Linked DNA regions of Drosophila melanogaster. The protein of the gene in region 2 interacts with the protein of the main gene of each other region in a pairwise test. Each region holds a gene or a part of one and is shown on either strand. Other genes may lie near its edges.

What was found. The genes of interacting proteins can lie anywhere in the genome.
Region 1: the proteins of CG42326 (region 2) and Mlp60A interact in a two-hybrid assay, tested with the Drosophila melanogaster proteins (one large-scale study listed by BioGRID).

The regions. Positions count from the first base shown.
Region 1 is NT_033778.4:24,072,751-24,078,723, reverse strand, and holds Mlp60A (muscle LIM protein at 60A), read right to left. Parts: upstream 4,123-5,973; 5' UTR 3,655-4,122; intron 3,551-3,654; exon of another isoform or gene 3,526-3,550; 5' UTR 3,502-3,525; coding exon 3,387-3,501; intron 3,276-3,386; coding exon 3,116-3,275; coding exon of another isoform or gene 3,112-3,115; exon of another isoform or gene 2,770-3,111; intron 2,544-2,769; coding exon 2,441-2,543; intron 2,379-2,440; coding exon 2,282-2,378; intron 2,222-2,281; coding exon 2,125-2,221; intron 2,071-2,124; coding exon 1,774-2,070; intron 1,667-1,773; coding exon 1,346-1,666; intron 1,287-1,345; coding exon 1,016-1,286; 3' UTR 501-1,015; downstream 1-500. Other genes in the region: CG10339 (uncharacterized protein), read left to right, coding at 1-390; Gpat4 (Glycerol-3-phosphate acyltransferase 4), read right to left, coding at 5,393-5,696, 5,763-5,973. UniProt on the Drosophila melanogaster protein: Positive regulator of myogenesis.
Region 2 is NT_033778.4:8,581,765-8,586,614, reverse strand, and holds the start of CG42326 (uncharacterized protein), read left to right. Parts: upstream 1-1,835; 5' UTR 1,836-2,022; intron 2,023-2,304; 5' UTR 2,305-2,449; intron 2,450-2,516; 5' UTR 2,517-2,990; coding exon 2,991-3,120; intron 3,121-4,295; coding exon 4,296-4,431; intron 4,432-4,528; coding exon 4,529-4,850.

The DNA.
Region 1 (5,973 bases), about 15 Mb from region 2:
GTGCCCAAGTACTTCGACCAGATCTTCGTGTGGGGCAATCCCTACATGACCAACTCCGTTGACTGGAAGTCGACCGACAAGAAGATCGCCGACATCATCATGACCCTGTGGGCGAACTTCGCCAAGACCTCGAACCCCACGAAGTCGAACGTGTACGTGAAGTGGAACGCCATGACCCCCAATAACGATTCAGTGCTTCTGATCGACGAGAGCTTCAACACGGACAACCTGCTGAACAACCAGCGGATCAACTTCTGGAGATCGCTGTACCCCAAGATCCTTGTCTTCTCCGCCGACTGCTGCAACTCCACGTTCTCGGGCAGCGGCCTGGTGATCGCCACTTCCGTTCCCATACTATGTACCCTTAGCATTATCGTTAATATATTTTGAATAAAGAGCTCCTGCAATAGATGACGCTTTGACCCTCTCCAAGTAATCTGTCCTACCGTTACTTATTACTTATTATATAATAAATATTTGAAAACAACAGAACCACATGTACAAAGTTACCACTTGTCGTTTATTAGTCGTTCGAAACTTATAGGATATTGATTTGTTGCTACGACTGCCATATATGTATATCATATCATAGGGAGTAACTCAGAAGTTCAAAGGATTTCGAATGGCGGTATCGATTGAAAATGGTGTGCATTTGCATTTGCACACCAATCCTTTGGATTCTTGGGCATCCTCGATAAACAAGGTTTGGAAATTCGTTTTCGCAGGTTTTACGATGAAGTTCAAGTCGAAGGTTAGAATGCATTTTTCGGTACTTATGTTCGAGACTTATACAATTTCTATACTAACCACCGCCAACTCATTCGCCTTCTATACTTTCATAACTAAATGTCGTTGTCTTGGAGCTAAAAGTACACTCTTGTGGAATTGCAATACTACACCTATTCGTCATCCTCAAAAATGTGGGCGCTCAAGGACTGAAATCCCCAGCACGAATCTTGGAGCTTATTCCATGCTGGTGGGATTAGTTCTTGAACGCGCTTTTTTGGTCGAGTTGTTAAGCCATTGTCAGTGTGCCAGCTCCGATTCCGTAGCCCACACCCTTTGGCCCATAGAACTTGGCGTAGCACGATCGGCAATAGATGCCGCCATCGGGTCCGTCGTTCAGATTGGTCGAGTCCAGGTATTTCCGGCACTCCATGCAGTAGAAACAGAGCTTGTGCCACACGTTCTTCGCGCTCTTCACCTGTTCCGCGGCGAAGACCATGAATCCGCATCGCGGACACCCGTTCTCCGACTTTTGTCCGTTGCGATCGATGGTTCCCCAGCTGGAAGAAGAGATCCTTGGATCCAGACGAACTCTCTTTGAACTGGACAACGGACTTACCAGCTGGGCGTGTACTCGTAGTTGGTGGACACCAGGGTGGGCGTGTGTCCGTACCCGACGCCTTTGGGGCCAAAGAGCTTCGCGTAGCAGAGCTTGCAATAGATATTGTCATCCGGTCCGTCACAGGCGAGCACCGAGTCCAGGGGTCGGGTGCACCTGGCGCAGTTGAAGCACTTCCTGTGGTACATCTTCCCCTTGGACAGCTGCAGCTCGGCCGCAAAGACCGCTCCGCCACATCGGGGACATCCCTCGCCGTCCGGAGCCATGATCGAAGTGGTGTCCGGAGCCACAAAGGGTCGTTCGGATGCCAAGTTCTCCTCACTGTAACAAATCTCTTTCAGTCAAATTATGGATTGGATTTTGACGAATATGATTGAAAGCTTGTTTTATCCAAATTCAAGATGAGCCTTGGAATGGAAACCACTCACGTAATGCCGTCGGTTTGCAGGAAACTGGATCCACAGGCGAATCCGTAGCCATGGGGTCCCCACTTCTTGCCATAGCAAGTCTTGCAGTAGACCTCATTGTCCGGACCATCGCACGCGATAATGGAGTCCAGAGTTTTGGTGCAGTCCCGACACTTGAAGCACTTCCGGTGCCAGCTCCTTCCCTTGGAGAGAACTTGTTCCGCGGCGAATACTACGCCGCCACAACGTGGGCATCCTTCTCCGATTGGCGCCTGGATTTGCTCCACATTTATGATGGAGGCTTTGGGAGCCATGTCGCTGCAAGCACCAACATAATAACCTAGCCAGAATTGGTGTTACTACTAATCTCACCTTTGCCACTCGCTATCCCTGATGTCGGACATCAACCCCAAGGACGAAATGCCGATGTGCCCGTAACCCCTGGCCCCAAACTTCTGAGCATAACATCCTGAAAAGCGAATGCTTCTAGAGATCCTAATTCTCTAAAATCTATGGGTTGGAAATGTACCTCTACAGTAAATGTCCTTGTCCGGACCATCACAGTGAAGAGTTGAGTCTAGAGTCTTGTTGCATTGCACGCACTTAAAGCACCTTCGATGGTAACCCTGCGATAAAGAACACCACCTAAGACAAGGGCCGACGGACCGAGATCGTTTCAATAGTTCACCTTTCCTCTGGCCAGCATCTGCTCGGCGGCATACACATATATGCCACACCGTGGGCAGCCCAGCCCGTCGGGTGCTTTTGGGGGAATCTTGGGCGGAACGAATCTAGAAAGATTCAAATGCCTCCCTCAATTACGGCGCTCTCGGTGGACATCCAATGTGGGGGGGGGGGGGGGTTGTTTCATCTTAGTCACACACAAGACGAGGAACAAAAGTCAGAAAGGTCGGTCGTTGTGCCCGAACAAAAAACGAATTGGGGAAATACACGAAATCCACATAGACAGCAGCGAGGGAGATGCGAATAGAAACCTATAAATAACATGTGAATAAGCTTACAACTACTTTGTTTTATTGTACATTTATTTTATCAATTTACAGTCCGCGGACGTTGTAAACAAAGATACAAGAATTATTTCACCAAAGACCACAATGTGTTTGCTAGTTTAACATTAACAATCGGTTAGTGTTAGTGGAATTTTCCAGGGAATCAGAAACTGGATATCCCTGGCGGTTTCTGCCCGGAAAGTTAAAAACAAATTTTTCGGTTGCTTTTTTGGGGGTGGGCGTGTGGAAAACATTGAAAACATACAGGTTCTAATAGAAAGCAAAACTACACATTTAATTCAAGGAATTTTACACAATTTTCATACAAAACATATTTCTTATTTAGTCCTTACTCTCTGTTTAAGTGGGCGCCAGTGTCCGTGGACAGGCAGCCGGCACCACCACCGAAACCGTATCCCTTGGGACCGTATTTGCGACCATGGCAGTTTTTGCAGAAAAGCTCCTTCTCGTGCTCCGTGCAGTTGGTCGAGTCCAGGGCCTTGTTGCACATGCCTGAAACGGGCGAGTGGAGGGGGAGGGGGGTAGGGTTTTGCGTTAGCTATCCGACATCCGACTCGAAGGACCAAGTCCAGACGATCTGGCTGGCAGGACATTTATACTTACTGCACTTGAAGCAGGTCTTGTGGAATTTGTAGCCTCCGGCAACGCGCTCCTCGGCAGCGTAGACCGACTTGCCGCACGCGGGGCACTTGGGGGTTTCAACGGGAACGAAAGGCATTTTGATCTGAGTGCGTGTGTGTGTCTGCGGGGGCAAAAAACTGTGATTATGGCAAACTGCAGCGGCTATGCGTGTGGTGGATCAGCGCGATTCAATTATATACACACATATATATATGTATATATATATATATATAATCCTAAGGATATATACCTCGGAGGTACTCTGTGAAGTAGTTCCTATTCGTCGGAAATGCCGCGGACTAGACTGGAAAGATTCTGTACACAGGTAGTCTATATTTGTGGATGCACACGGCACAACTAAGAAAATACAGTTTGCGTAATAAAAACAGCACTTTCTGAATATATCATTTATTTATCATGCAATGCCCACGGCTCTATGTATGTGTACTCTCGGCTATATCCACGCCCCGATGTCTCATTCCTGGGCTGGTAACAGACCAGTTAGACTAACTTGGATTACTATATCTTCACCCACTGGGAAGGAATTTGCCTCGTCTTGAAGTAATTTGTTTTGTTCTACTGCACTCTCAAGTGCGAGGCATGCAAGATTTTTGGGGAAAAATCGAAATATATAATGGGCTGTTTCTCACGAAGGTTCTACCCGTATAACCAACCAACTAACCAACCAACCATCCATCCAACCAACTAACCCATATGTAATCTGATTTTACGCAACAATTAATTTATTAGCTTTCGACACGCACACCAAAATCCGCGCAGATGTAAATATGTATGTTTGTAGTCTAAAAATATATGCACACCCATGCGATGTGTATCAAAGTACATTCATGGCCTTATTTTAAACTTAGAAATTCGAAAATAGCTCATAACTGCTCAACCCAGATCCATAAATAAACCCATTACGCATTGATCGCTCGATCGGAATTGGAATCGGATTTGGAATCGGAATCGGATTTACATGCCATAAAGTGTTCGAAAATAGGTTCCAGTTTTCGAAAGAGCGTTTTTGGAGAGTGGATCGAGTGGCCAGCCACAAGTGTTTCAATTGGGGGGCCAAACGAATATGCACATGGATATGAATATGAATATGGATGTGGATGTGGATGTGTATGTGGATGGAGTGAAGCATCTTTTCATCAGCGCCTGCGATGCCCATGTATAAACATATCTATAAATAGAGGGGCTCTGGGTATTTGTTAATTGTAAATCGCTCACTTGCGATTGGCAATGAGCCTAACAATTTATGAAGGCCAGGCCCATTGACTCGACAAATCTGACAATGTGGTTTGCTTTGCCAGCATTGTTTATCCGCGTGCCGATCCGATCCGATACCACCATTATTTTTGGCGACAGTTCAGGGTTAGTTCATCGCCAAGAATGTCGGGAATTAACCACTCGATCGACCGATCGCCTCCAACTCGGAACACGGAAGTATGTATGTCTTAATTACCTGTATGGGTGGACAATTAGTGCAAAATAGACATTTGGCGCAGCGCTGAGTCAGCCACTCGTATTTATTATTAGCCGCATAATTATGAATATGTAATCTAGTTATTCGCCATCTTGTTGGCTTCATTTGGCTCCGCTTAACTATGCATGATATGCAGGTGGCCAAAAATCAACATCCATAGGTTGCTGACCTGGTCTCGCTCCATCCAACAAAGAGGCCTCACCTTCGAGCCCATTCTTCGCCAGAGTGTGGCTGGCGTTTTGCATGACAAAGAAATGAATTTACAGCGATCGGGTCCAGATGTTATGATAATCAGCTTATCAGATATCGTTTATTTTACAAAGTAGATAAATTAATTAATATACAAATAATTATTATAATTGTACATTTGACTTCATCTTTTATTTAACCATCCAATTGTTAATCGTAATTTATACAAATTACAGTCGCTGCAATACAAATTATGCAAAATCATGTATGTATATCATTTACAGTCACTGTATGGTAATATGGTAATTTAGGTGGAGTCCGACTTCAGCCGATTGGCAAACTCGACTTGCTGGATCTCCCTCCACTCCTTCTTTGGCTTCATGCGCTTCAGCTGCCCGTCCCAGACCAGATCAATCAAACCTCCCTGCTTCGCGATGACACTCTTCACGCGGTTCGCGAAGTCGATCGCCGACTCTCCCTCCTGCCTGTACATCGGCGGCAGGTACCACACATCGCACACGATGGCCCACGAGGTCATCATCATGTACAGATACTGCATCATCGAGTACTTCGCGCTGTTCCAGAAGGCGTCGCCGAACCTCGGATCGTACCTTCAAGCCAAAAGAGACCCCACGGATGAGAAATGGTTTCGCCGCGAAAAACTATTCACTACTCACTTAATGGCCACCGGGTAGATGACGCCGCCAACTTCGAAGCTGCCCTTCTTGAACTGCATGACCGACGTGTTGTTGATGCAAGTTCCCTCCGGGAAGATAAGGATCGGTGGGTTGTTCGGATCAGACACGTGCTGCTTCAGTCGCTCGGCCACCAAATGACGATCCTTGGCCTCGCCGCGCTCAAACCAAATGTGGGGAGATGCGCGGGCCA
Region 2 (4,850 bases):
AAAAAGAAAATGCAAATGTTCTAACCAATCTTGCTATTTTCAGTCCAAATGATTTTTATTTATAACTTGGCTTTTGGGCAATCCCCATTCTCTTAATGACTCGCTCAGAGGCGTAACCTCTGCAGCGCCTTAGAATTCCTCGGAGTTCCTGGTATGCAAATTAGCCGCCACAATGAGCTCATCTTGCCTTCAGCGAATCCCAGACGAAATCCCAATCCGCTTCTCCTGCCTCTGCCGAAGTCGACGGCGGCGTCTACGTCCACCGCGACAGCGACGGCTGCGCATGCGCCTGCGCAGACTGCGGCGCGGATTTGCAAAGTCGATGGCGAGGCGCTGATGAAGAACAACCCCGGCCTGAATTAGACGGCGCCAGCGAGCATGACAAGGTCGGCACTTAAAGGTGTCGCCAATTACGGGCCTCACCTCCCGACCTCCCAAACTCCTAGCTTCCAATAGACCAGCCACCCGTTTGGGGGGGTCTTCATCTACTTGTATGGTTTCCCCATCTTTCGAAAATCTCTTTTTCGAGTGTTTTGTGAAAACTCGCTCGAGTTAACGCTTCAGTTAAAGCCCAAATGCACTTGTGGGCAGTGCCAGCGTCGGTGGGTGTCCGTTAAATTTGAATTTCACACCGCTTAGCGCGCTCAGCAATGCGGAAAGAAAACTCTCCAAGCGCCAAACTGAAATTCTGGGATTCTTTGCTTCAGGTGCTTTAGGTTCTGATTCGACTGCTCCACTGATTCCCGGCTTCTTATAGCCAAGAATTCTCTCTCTAATTGCATCAAAAGAAACTCAAAACACATACGAAATAATCACGCAAATGTGCCTTTGTTTTGATGTTGGCACAGTGAAGAGTCTATGAATTCGTATAAGCGTTTTGGTAAGAGCTTAAAGCCTTAGAGTTTAGTAAGTTTTCACGTTTACATTTTGTGGCGGTAGTTTAATTTTTGTTAACAAATTACCCTACAAAATGCAAAAATGATCTATTTAAATAAATGCTTTCGACGTGACATTGTCTGCTATTTTTAACTATTTTAAATTGTAATGACACCAAAGAAACCAATAAATTTCTGTATTCTATTATTAACTTCTATTATTAACTAACTCATTTTAAAGGGCATTTAAAGTTTTCTAGCAACGTGAGTATGTTTTGCTGTTACAATTTCATTTTAAACAATTTTCGAGAGTCATTGCCAGGATTTGGAGGCGTGGAGCAGGGGGAAACTTGGACGAACCCCCCAAGTTGCTCTTCCCCTCCTCCTCGAGAAACCCCCCTCCCAGCAACTACTCAAGTGGGCGCAGCGTAGGCAATGCTAATGATGATAATGATGATGACGATCTGTAGAGCCAAGCTCCATCGCCTCTTGTCCCCCCATCCCCTTTCCCATTCAACACCCCCTGCCACCAAACAACTAACACTTGAAGTGAAGTTACCATCTAAATAAACAACTAAATTACACTTTGAAAAAATCTTGCCAACCTACCAAGTATAATTAGCCAAAAAACCTGTTCCCTCTCTGTATCTTTTATAAATATTATGAACCATAATTTTTAAGGATTTCATGCGAACATATTTGTCCTAAACAATAGAAGAATCTTATTGAAATAAAAATGTTAAGAACAATTTCATAATTCAAATTCTTATTTGCTTATTTTATTTTAGATATATTTGTTACTTGTTGTTGCACAATTAATCTGAGTGTGGCAACAACAATTCACCGATAGAGATGCTTACCCGCTGCCTCTGCCCGCGGCGCTGCCGCAGCACTGTCGCGTCTGCGCCGCTTTCTGCTCTTCCGATGAGTTTCGAACACAACTAAATCAGAATTTTATTCAGTTTCAATTGTTTAGCGAGTGCGGATCGGCGTCGAGTGCGCGAAGCAGCGAAAACAAGCCAAACCAAACGAGACGAGCCCCACAATAAAATAAAATAAAATAAAATAAAATAATACAAATAGTTGAATTAAATCAAAAAAAAAAAAAAAACGAGGGGCAAGGAACTAAGAAAGTAAATTAAATTAGGTGTGTACTGCTGAGGCTTTCTTGTCATTAGCGAAATTTTGAAATCTTCAAAGTGTCAAAGCGCGACGGAAATGCCGTTATATTCGCTACATTTCCCAACATAATTTACCGCGCCCCAAAAAAAGAAGAAAGTCGCCGGAACAATCTAACAATTTTCACCAACGAAATTGTTTTATTTTGGTTCTGGGAAGAATTCTTCGCTCTTAATTAATCATCAAGATTATTAGCGTAATGGTTTTTTGTTTCTGGCAACTATGAGCAAATAAGTTATTATTATTTTAGGTGATTTTGGCATTCAGATGGCCTATGCTGGATTTACGCATTGATGAGCACTTTGTCATTCGGGTTTTTAATTATCGGCCAACTTCCAAAACTTTTGGTCGAAAGGTCACAGGCACCTGTGCAGTGAACTCTGACGTCATCGCATGTAAGAAGGCTTCGCAACGCTTGGTTAGCCAGGTTATTGACTCTCGCCCTCCCTCTCCCACTTGAAGTTACAGGCCGGACCACCATCATAATTATGTGAGTCGGCTTCTTCCGCAACCGCAGAATCTTAAGCCGCCTCTTGCCCGCGAACCCATAAATAAAGCCGATCTTGGCTCATTTTAACGATCTGCATATTTTGGCAACATAATTAACGGTGAAAAGAATGTGAAAAGTAGCGAATCGTAACGCGAAAGCCCCAATCACAAAACGAGAAGAGAAAGAAATACGCGACTGCAAAGAAAGGCGGAAGAAAGAAGCAGAAGGCTTCCACGCGCCACCAGCGAGTCTCCATCTCTCAGTTCGAAATCTCGCGTCCATCCCAGCGGTGCCTCAAAGCAAATCTTCTGGCCAGAAGCCCAAGTGAAACCGTCGATGATGCAAAAAGGGAAGTGCCAAAAGAGGCGAGTTAAGTGAGAGCAAATCTAAAAGAAAGCATCGTAATATCGAAAAGCGCCGCTGGGGTTATAAACTAATCGGACCCCATGATCGCGATCAGCGATAATTCGCTTGGGCAGCGATTAAAACGCCTCCAGCTGGCATTTCTCCTCATCGCTCTTTGGGATTCTACGAGGGCACTGACGGTCGACAATCAATTGGTATCCGCAAGAAATGGTAAGTGAAATATTGCAAATTAGTGCTCACAGCTACCTATACAAAAACGTATATTTACAAACGGAATAACTGTCTTACAATTTATACAAATTGTATGCTTTATTTTGGTTTTTTGTAGAATACAATTCCTAATTTTAGAACCTTATTTTCATCGTCATTTGATACGTGACACGATTGACTGCTAGATTCATTTTTAAAGCTTAGTAAATCATCTATATACTTTGTATACCACAATTTTGGGGCTTTTTATATATGGCCTACTTAAAGCGTTTATGAACAGCACTTAAACGCTTACAATTGGTTGTTAAAACCGGCTTGATAATTTTTTAAGAACCTTTACGAGCATTATCTTTGGTTATAAAAGAGTGCTTCTATGAGCCTTTGCTCGGGCTATTGAATCATTCCCGTAGTAATGTAAATCATTGGGATATAAAATATACAATTTTTCCATCACTTTAAAGTGGGATTCTAGGATTCTATTTAGAACATACATTTCTCGGTGATTGGGTACACCGTATAATACGAATATGTATAAGGTTCCAATATCATGCAACTCCAGATTAAAATGAAATTTAATTACACCCTTAGTTAATTGGACAACTTAACAATTTTGTTTTTATTATTACAACTATTGTAATCACAAATTCCTGGACATAGTGTGCTCATGTTTAAGCTACTGACTAAAAATTAATTTGAATTTCACTACTTTGGAAACATTCAAATATTCTAAATGAGGTAATTTCTTGGAAAAGAGCATACCAATCTAATAACCATAGGCTGGGGGCCAATCCATCAAGCATGTCAGCCCACAAACACCGCAGAGCAATGTGTTTTGTTTATGGTTTGACCTTTTTGAATTATTCATGCACTGACAAAAATTCTATGGGTCACCACCCAAGTGCGCCCCACCGGCACGCAAAGTTAATAAAATTCAAATTCAAATCCAAATCCGAATGGAGAACAAAGCCAGCGAACAATCGAAAAGAGACAATTGCAGAGTCAATAAAACTAACCTACCGTAGAGTGGACGAAGTGGAGCACCAGCGGTGGCCTTGAAAGTGCAAGTGGGGTGACGCAATTGTTTAGGAGCCAAAAGGAGTAGGGGGTGGAGTTGCTTAACTGCCAGCTGAACCTTTTGTAATTGCGATCTCGCATTTGGCATCTTGCATCGACAGACTGCTTCGAGCGGATTGCACTGGAGGCGATGCTGCCATTTGAGAAGACCTTCCGCACCGAAGACACCAACTCGCTGAAGATGTGCAAGGAGAAGTGCCTGCAGGCGGGCGAGAAGTGTCAGGCCATCTCGTTCGGGTGAGTCGTCTTCCACCTGTCACCCCTTGATTGCCCAATTTCCATCTTATGTATATATGTGTTTTCCTTCTCCTTCTTTTTTTTTGGAATTTTGCAGTGTTCATCGACGCGGAAACGGCACTTGTCAGTTGTCATCGGAGCAGTACGGCTCGGGGGGCGGCGGGCGTCCGGGGGGCGTGATTTTCGATCCCGACTTTGATCTGTACACGCGCAAGACGAACTGCTTCGACTTGAGCGACAACTCGATTGCCGCTGGTCCGCAGCCCGTGCCCGGTCCCAGTCCCATTTCACCCGGACCGACGCCACTGGATCTGCCGAACAGGCCCTTGGATGTGGGCAATACGCCAGTGCTGGTGGTCAACCCCACGCCACACACTTCGGGGAGTCCACCGCCTCCGTTGGGACCGTCCCTACCGCCA